Linked DNA regions of Kluyveromyces lactis. The protein of the gene in region 1 interacts with the protein of each later gene in a pairwise test. Links are inferred from orthologs where the notes say so. Each region holds a gene or a part of one and is shown on either strand. Other genes may lie near its edges.

The links.
Region 2: the proteins of CBF2 (region 1) and SLX5 interact in a two-hybrid assay, tested with the Saccharomyces cerevisiae proteins (3 studies listed by BioGRID). The link is inferred for Kluyveromyces lactis from reciprocal best matches to the Saccharomyces cerevisiae genes CBF2 and SLX5.

The regions. Positions count from the first base shown.
Region 1 is NC_006041.1:345,014-349,474, reverse strand, and holds CBF2 (Cbf2p), read left to right. Parts: upstream 1-1,448; coding exon 1,449-3,659; downstream 3,660-4,461. Other genes in the region: KLLA0_E03785g (uncharacterized protein), read left to right, coding at 3,838-4,461.
Region 2 is NC_006039.1:401,601-405,587, reverse strand, and holds SLX5 (SUMO-targeted ubiquitin ligase complex subunit SLX5), read right to left. Parts: upstream 2,332-3,987; coding exon 508-2,331; downstream 1-507. Other genes in the region: KLLA0_C04433g (uncharacterized protein), read right to left, coding at 1-65; rRNA methyltransferase NOP1, read right to left, coding at 3,160-3,987. UniProt on the Saccharomyces cerevisiae protein: Component of the SUMO-targeted ubiquitin ligase (STUbL) complex SLX5/SLX8 that mediates ubiquitination and subsequent desumoylation of sumoylated proteins and proteins containing SUMO-like domains for their degradation.

The DNA.
Region 1 (4,461 bases):
CATACAAAAAGGAACCCAAAAGACTCAGTCAGATACCAGGCAGCTCAAAAAAATTTCGAGACAAACGACGAAATCTAACGCTGCATTAAAGCTAAAATAAAGTAGAACTAAAACTCCCTCTAGATGGCTGAGAAAATTTCAGTGACGGCTGCTGGAATATTTAAGGAAAACCCTGTATAAAACAATATACCATATATACCTCTAGTTGCATAGTTCAGAACAACGCGCAACACTTGGCTGTCCAGATCATGGAGAGCACGGACTCTTTTCTCACGGTCTGTAGCCTTTCTGCCACCGTATACTGCCCAACAATTGTAATTCACGCTTTTCATCACTAGTCGCTTCTTGTCATCGTAAGGTGAAGCGATCCCAATTGATCGCACCTATAAAGTGCTGCAGGAAGATGGACTTTTGGATCAAAAAATCTACAAATCCGCTTTTTTTTTTTTCTTTCGAAAGAAAAGGGCAGTAAGAATCATCTCGAAGATAAATACGTGGCTAGTGGTATAAAGGATCTTGAGCAGCTTGGTCTGAACAAGAGAAAAAAACTGGACAGGATGGATAACTGGTTGTGTCCTTAGCCCCGGGTGGAGTGGAACACTAGAAACACGTGTCACTTGTCTTTGAGCGAAGAGTTTGGCCCATAACTGCTGTTGTAGACAACATTCTACCAAAGGAAATGTATCGCCCTTTTTTTTTCCTTTCGGTCTGCTTGATCGTTCCATTGACTGGCAAAATAAACGGATGGTAGATGCTAGCTGAGACTACACATCAACCAATTCCATTTCACCGTTGGTATGTAGTCTAGCCAAAGGCGAGAAACTGGCTCTCTCAAAGATGTTGAAACTGGTTGCTTCATCAATTCTCCTGTTTCACGGGTTTCTAAATCAAACTTTTTTTTTTTCATGCTGCAGCCTGGTTTGATGAAATTTAATGGCTCGGGAAAGGAGGGCATCGGTCAAATTTTTGATATTCGTATAATAACTGGATCACGCTTTTTCCTGTGGACCGGACTTATGTGTTGTTGTTGTTGTTACAAGCATGTAGTGTTACCCGGTGGATATGGCGGAAGAATTGATTCTTTCAAAGAAGCTGTATGTCTGTATAATTTCTTATGTTGTCCTCTCTGGTGGGGTGCATTAGCGGTTCGTATTTGGATCGGGACGAAGGGCAGCACAATCATGGAGTTTTTGAGGTGGTCTTCTTTTATGTTCACGTGACTGTTTTTTTTTTCCAAGATGCATGCTCTTCTCAGTTTCGCTCCCCTCAAAAAAAAAAAAAAAAAAAAAGAGAACAGTTGTCTTTCGCGTATTGTAGTTCTTTTTTTTAACATCCATAATAATAATAAAAACAACAACCATTAACAATAGGAAGTGATACTTATGGAGTTGGTTGGTTTCAGGTTGCTGGCGAAAAGCTAATATAGGCTCCTGTTTTCCTCAAGTTGAATGTCCAAACTTGATTCTCTTTTGAAAGAATTGCCTACACGAACAGCTCATCTATACCGCAGCATATGGCATAAATACACAGAATGGCTGAAAACGATGCCCGATCTCACCGGCGCAGACCTGAAACTTTTCTTGTCTCAAAAGTACATTGTCAAATATATTGCTTCGCATGATGATATCGCGAAGGATCCATTACCTACTTGTGACGCCATGATTTGGTTCTCTCGTGCTTTGGACATCGAAAATAACGATGTTCTTGTATTACAGCAACGGTTATACGGTCTAGTGAAATTGTTAGAGTTTGATTATTCTAATGTTATTGCTATCTTACAAAAGATTTCTATCAATTTATGGAATCCCAGTACGGATTCCTTACAATCAAAACACTTCAAGACTTGCCAGGATAAGCTAAAACTACTCTTGGATTTCCAATGGAAATTCAATACGAATGTGTCTTTCGAAGACAGAACTACTGTGTCGTTGAAAGATTTACAATGTATATTGGATGATGAAAATGGTAAATGTGGATTGGCGCATTCTAGTAAACCTAATTTTGTTCTTGTTCCCAATTTCCAATCACCATTTACTTGTCCAATCTTTACCATGGCAGTGTACTATTATCTACGATTCCACGGTGTGAAAAAGTACTATAAAGGGGATGGTTACCAGATCCTTTCACAATTAGAACATATACCAATAATTAGAGGGAAATCCTTGGATCAATATCCTCGTGAATTGACTCTTGGGAATTGGTACCCAACTATCTTCAAATATTGTCAGCTTCCGTACACTAAAAAACATTGGTTCCAAGTTAACCAAGAGTGGCCTCAATTCCCCGATTTCAGTGACAGTTCAGAGAATACAAGTACTCTGGCTGAATCAGATTCAGAAAACACCATTGGTATTCCTGACTTTTACATTGAAAAGATGAATCGTACTAAACTTCAACCTTGCCCGCAGGTTCACGTGCACTTGTTCCCCACAGACTTACCGCCCGATATTCAGGCAGTGTTCGATCTTTTGAACTCAGTGCTAGTCACTAGCTTACCACTTCTCTATAGAGTGTTTCCCACACATGATATTTTCTTGGACCCATCCTTAAAGACACCGCAGAATATCGCTTTTCTTACCGGCACTCTGCCGCTTGACATAGAGTCTCAAGAGCACCTTTTGGCTCAACTCATCGATAAAACTGGTACTGTCTCCGAATTAGTGCCTAATCCTGTCAAGATAGATCAAAATGAACATACTCTGACACCTATTGGTACCTCACTGTCACAGACTGATATTCCTATGCTTGACCAACTAAAAACCGAATTACAAAAGTTGATTCAATTACAGACTTCGACCGGCTTTTCTCAATTGATTACTGTCCTTCTTGAGATATTCCAAAGGTTGGATTTCAAGAAATCTAACAAGCAATTTGTAATTGATTTATTACAATCATGCAGAAAGGACATGAGAAACAAACTCATGGACCCATGTTCTCTTTCGACTAATTTTGCTGATGAACTCAGCGATGATGAAAATGAGAAAGGAAATAAGACAGGAGCCATTTATGATCCTGAAACTGATAATGGTAATGAAGAGTCTGTGAGCGATTATGAACCATCTTTTAAGAAATCGAAGCCAAATTATACAGAAGAACCTTTATCTGATGATGAAAACATGGAGGAAGTTGCTCAATTGGTAAATCAGCTCATAACTAGGAAATTTAATGAAAATTTGGAACAGCAAACTGATCGGATTATCAGTTCTATACAACCAACGCTTCGTGACATGGTCCGTACTGAGGTTGCAGATGCACTAAACCTTTCCCTAAGAGAAGCTTCGCGTGACAGTGTCAACAAGAAAAACAGTGACGAAAACTTTCAGAATTATTCCTTAACAGAAGATCATTTTGAGATGAATCCCGACTGCTCTGACATCAAATCAATTATTCTAGAATGGTTTACCCCAAATCGTGAATGCGTGCATTCGATGAACAAGAAATATGGAAACAAATGGCGACTGACAGAACCAAATCTGTCCTTGTACAGGATACGGAAGCCAATTGTTCAGTATTACATACATCTAATCAATGTAGAAAACCTCAATAAGTTTGACGCATTGAATAAGCTCGAAGCCGTGCTCGAAAAGCATCACTCCGTTCCGCTTCTCTCTTCCTTCTTGGAGAAAGCCAAGAAAAACGGCTATGCATCTGTCACGTGAACATTTTTTGTTAAGCATGCTTACTTTGCATGAGGTACATAAATGAAAACCGTATAATAGAAAATTGTAACCATATTTAGCAACGAAGCAGTAAAGTTGCTTCTGAACAAAGTCATAACTAGCTAAGAACCTTTCAGTATTTACTTGAAAAGAAAACTATAACGAGCCTGATGAGATTATGAGATTCTATATATTGTTTTTGTACCTATTTGGTACTCTAGTAGCGGCCATCCATCTTGATGACCCGCTTACTAACTTCAACTTTACTCCTCCTATAAAATCTCCTAACGACCTTCTGGACCACGAGCGGACGTTAACTGACGGTGAAATTCCAAGGTATGTTCTAGATCATTCACCGTTGATCCATCTTTACAGCGAAGAAAAATATCTTCCAGGAGACATCCAATCCTTTGTACCGCACTTTCAATTGGTAACATCGAATTATGAGACGGTTGTAAATGAACCTCTGAAAATATCAGATCTCAAGGGTGAATATAACGTTGCAGGGGAAGTTTTATCCAGCGAAACCCTGTATTTACATACTACAGAAAAGTTCGAGGAAGACCCATCTTGGTTACGCGGGACTCATCCTGAATATGGAACAGGATTGACTAGAGATGCTTCATCAATTGTTATAGTCGTTGATAAAGGCAATGGATGGGTAGACGCATATTGGTTCTATTTCTATCCCTTCAATTTGGGTCCATTCATCATGGGTTATGGTCCCTGGGGTAATCACATAGGTGATTGGGAACATTCTTTGGTTCGGTTTTTCAAGGGCGACCCTCAGTATATTTGGATG
Region 2 (3,987 bases), on another chromosome or scaffold:
ATTGAATTGATACATCCAGTGACTATCAAGGAAAGCGCTGTCACTATCACTAACTCCTTTCTCATAAGAAATATGCAAAACGAACCCGTTCAAGTTCAAAGAAAATTCACCAGTTCTTGACCTTAGTACTGATCACCACCACTGATCACGACTTAGGAATGAAAGCTACGTTCATAAAATTACAGACGCTATGAAGATAACCCATACAAAGGCAGTTTTTGTCTTTATCCTTTCATGTTCATTCCGTTTCCTTAAGTATCATATTTTTTATGTAATGGTAAATAATCGAGAAGCTCTGAATTTCCTAATAAATAAGGGAATGGACCACATAATTTGTTACAGGCAGCCAACCACCTTTTCGTTATCTAGATTAGTCCCAGGTTTAGGACAACATTCTAAGAACTAATATGCTATTTATAATTTTACATGGTCAGCTCTCTGTTATCGATACATGTGCAAATCGACAGCTTTTTGATACAAAAGAATGATTTAGTGAACGATGATAACTCAGAAGTACACCTCTCTCATGATACCTTTTTTTCTTAAATTACTGTTACAACCTTCGGCAGGACATTTCTTAGGACCATAATTATCCGGATGCGAAGGTCCTTGAGAGTTCTTTAACTTGTTTTTTTCCTTTGCCGAAATATCTCTTGCGTTCTTAATTCTTACTTGACACCGGCCACAGAAAGTGTGTCCACATGAACTCACGTACGTTCTGCGAGATAAATCTCTATCAACTAGCGTAGGTCTTGCAAGAGTTTGATACGGACAGTGAAATTTATAGTGTGACTGAAGGGCTTCAAATGAAACGCCTTTATCTTCTTCACTAACACCTTTCCAATCATCCGGAATTCCAACTCCCAGTTCCACACCACATAGGACACAGACAGGAACATCGATGTATGTTTTCGCGGCCACGTCATCTGTTACCATCACCGTCTCCTCTCTGCCTTCATTCTCCATAGTCATCGACATCAATGGTGCAGTGTTGAATGACGCAGAATATCCTTCAGGCAAAGAGTTCGCTTTGTCGATGTATTTCTGTTGCTGAGATTTAGTGACTTCATTCAACTTCTTAGTTCTTGTACTGGCATCTCTTTCCTCTCTTTCTTGAATCATACGTATAATCAATTCTGTGTTTGCCGCATCATCTCCATCTTCATAGAATCCAAACTCGGGACCCACACCAAATGGTAGATTGCCAAACCTTCTATTCATTGTGTTTGATATAATACGTTGTAAAGACTGCGTTGTACCTGTGAAATTATTGCCGTCCATATTTTCATCATCATCTGGCATTCCAAATAACATCTGTTGATAAAGGGCGTTGTCTCTTGAATCTCCGTTTGATCCACGAGAATGATTTTGTTGAGTACCGCTTCTTGTTCTTTGTGGCCTTAGGCTATTTCTATTTTGGTAACTCATGCTTCTAGTACGCCTTCCCTCAGCCCAACTTTGCATGGCCCGGGCTCTAAAATCTCTGTACTGGCCAAGCAATTGTTCAAGCCTCGCTGGTGGGAAATTGAACCTAGCAAGTCCTTCCCTAAATTGAGACAATGACTGAGATTCAAAGAACAAACTCCTAAGATCTGGATCCAAGGAATCGATCGTCTCATCAGCAGCTCTCTGTAGCCTTTGCATTTGGTTCTGTCTTTCCCTTTGTTCTCTCATTCGCGTTTGCATTGTATACTGATTTCTTTCGTTAACGATATCCGGAGGAATGTAATCCGCATCGTTATCGCTGAAATCACTATCACCAGTGCCTGACTGGTTGTAGCCACCCATAAACATAGCAGTAGCATGATCAATATGTCGCCGTAGTCTTCGCAGTTGGTTTGGATTCCTGTATACCTGATTCTGGAACGACCTGCCCACCGGAAGTTCATTCCAGGAAGCATCGACCTGTAACGTTTGACCTGCCGGGAGTTGCAAAAGTACGGGTCTACCAGATTCCTGGATACGCTCTTCTACAAGCATTAAATCATCATCCCCTTCTCTATGATCCACAACCACAGTACCATTGTTGGAAGCCCTGTAGTTGTCCAGATTGATGTACTCTGCATCATCATTTATTGGCCCATCAGGTCGCAAGGAAACCTCTGCAGTTATCTCCAAATCTTCACCATCTGTTGACACTGGCAAATCTGTAGCAGGAGCGATAGGAGCCACATTTCTATCCTCTGCGTTGGAAACAAATCTTGACAAATGGTCTCTGGGTCTATTCCTTCTGCGATCTGGAATCAATCGCCTTGGTGCATATTCTTCCCTGATTTGAGCATCTAGCTCTGGATCACTATCGATCTCTATAACACACCCTTGCTCCGTCATCACAAGGCTTTCTACCTTACTAATTACTGTTCCAGCTGTACCAGATACCTATTTTAAGGATCTGGCTCTGAACTCTTCCGATACCTTTGTATACTTTTAGCTTATTTCAAAGGTTTACTCTTAATATCAAAACCACTGTTGTCTTAAATATCATAATTATTAATTTCAAGAACTTTTCTTTACTTTTGTCTCAATTTGATGTCGATTAAAGATAAAAGAAACAAAGAGTTTGTCAACAGATGCACAGATGGACCGTATTATGGTATCGTAACCCGTATGGGGTTATATCCTTTAATTCACTGCTACCAGACATGATTTTCTAGAACGTATGGTTGTTATTGATATATATAAGTTATATATAGTATGTGATAATAATAATAATATATCTACAAATTAAATGTACAAAATAAGGTTAAGAGTGTTCGAGTATTAATACCGTTATTGTGAAAATGGGTTCTTTTGTATTGTCAAGTTGATGAACAAGGTTTTGAAATCTTCTTCTATTCTTTTCCCGTCAGTTAGTCGATCTCCTTTGAACAGGCGAAGGACCTGGACTGTAAGTAAAAGAAACACACAGAGTGACAAAATACAAGTGAAGACGAAGTGGAGACTTTTCTAGTTTGTAGAACTTTATCACGAATCAATGAGATGCAAAATTTCAAATAATATTATAGTGTTAATGATTGTATTGGAATGAAGGTTTTTAAAACTAAAAAGTAAGCAAAAAAAGATTAGAAGCCAAAAAAAAAAGATTAATAGAAGGAATCATGAACCAAGTAGGCATACTCTAGCATTGGTTTCAAAATATCAATATTTCTTTAGCAGCTCTTATAATCCACTTCTCATGTATTTACCGATAACGATACAATGGTCTCTTTCATAAGGTTCCAAAGTCAATTGTTCCAAAGGCTTAATCTTTTCTTCTCTCAATTTTTGAACTTCTCTAGCGAACACAGTTTCAGCATCAACAGTAGAATCGATACAGTTAGCCTTGATAGAGATAACGACACCACCTTGATCCTTCAAGAACATATGAGAGTTCAAAGCAATAATACGGGCTTGATCAGGTTGAGCAACATCTGCGAAGACGGCGTCAACCATACCGATAAGCATTCTGTATTTTTGTGGATGTCTAGCATCTTCAATAATTGGGATAACATTTGGTCTCTTCTTAGCCATAGAGATCAATTCTCTACCTGGTCTGTGAGAGAACTCAACAGCGTAAACCAACCCTTCTGGACCAACGACATCGGAAACGTGGGACACAGATGTACCGGAAGCAGCACCTAGATATAGAACCTTCTTACCTGGAGCAATGAATAGTTCATCCAAACCACCCATGATACCGGCAGCCAATTTGGATCTGAAAGGATTCCAAACACGGTATTCCACCTTAGTTGGTGGGACACCTTCTTCAGTGGAAGGTTCTTCAACTGAAACTCTCTTTTCACCGTACACAGATTCACCTGGAGCGATGTTCTTTGTGACCAAAAGATCTTCTTTACCTCTGGCAATAAAAACACCAGCATGCTTATGAGGTTCGATAACAACCTTAGCACCACCACGGGCACCACCACGAGCACCACCACGAGCACCACCACGAGGACCACCTCTGGAACCACCACGGGCACCACCAAATCCACCTCTGGAACCACC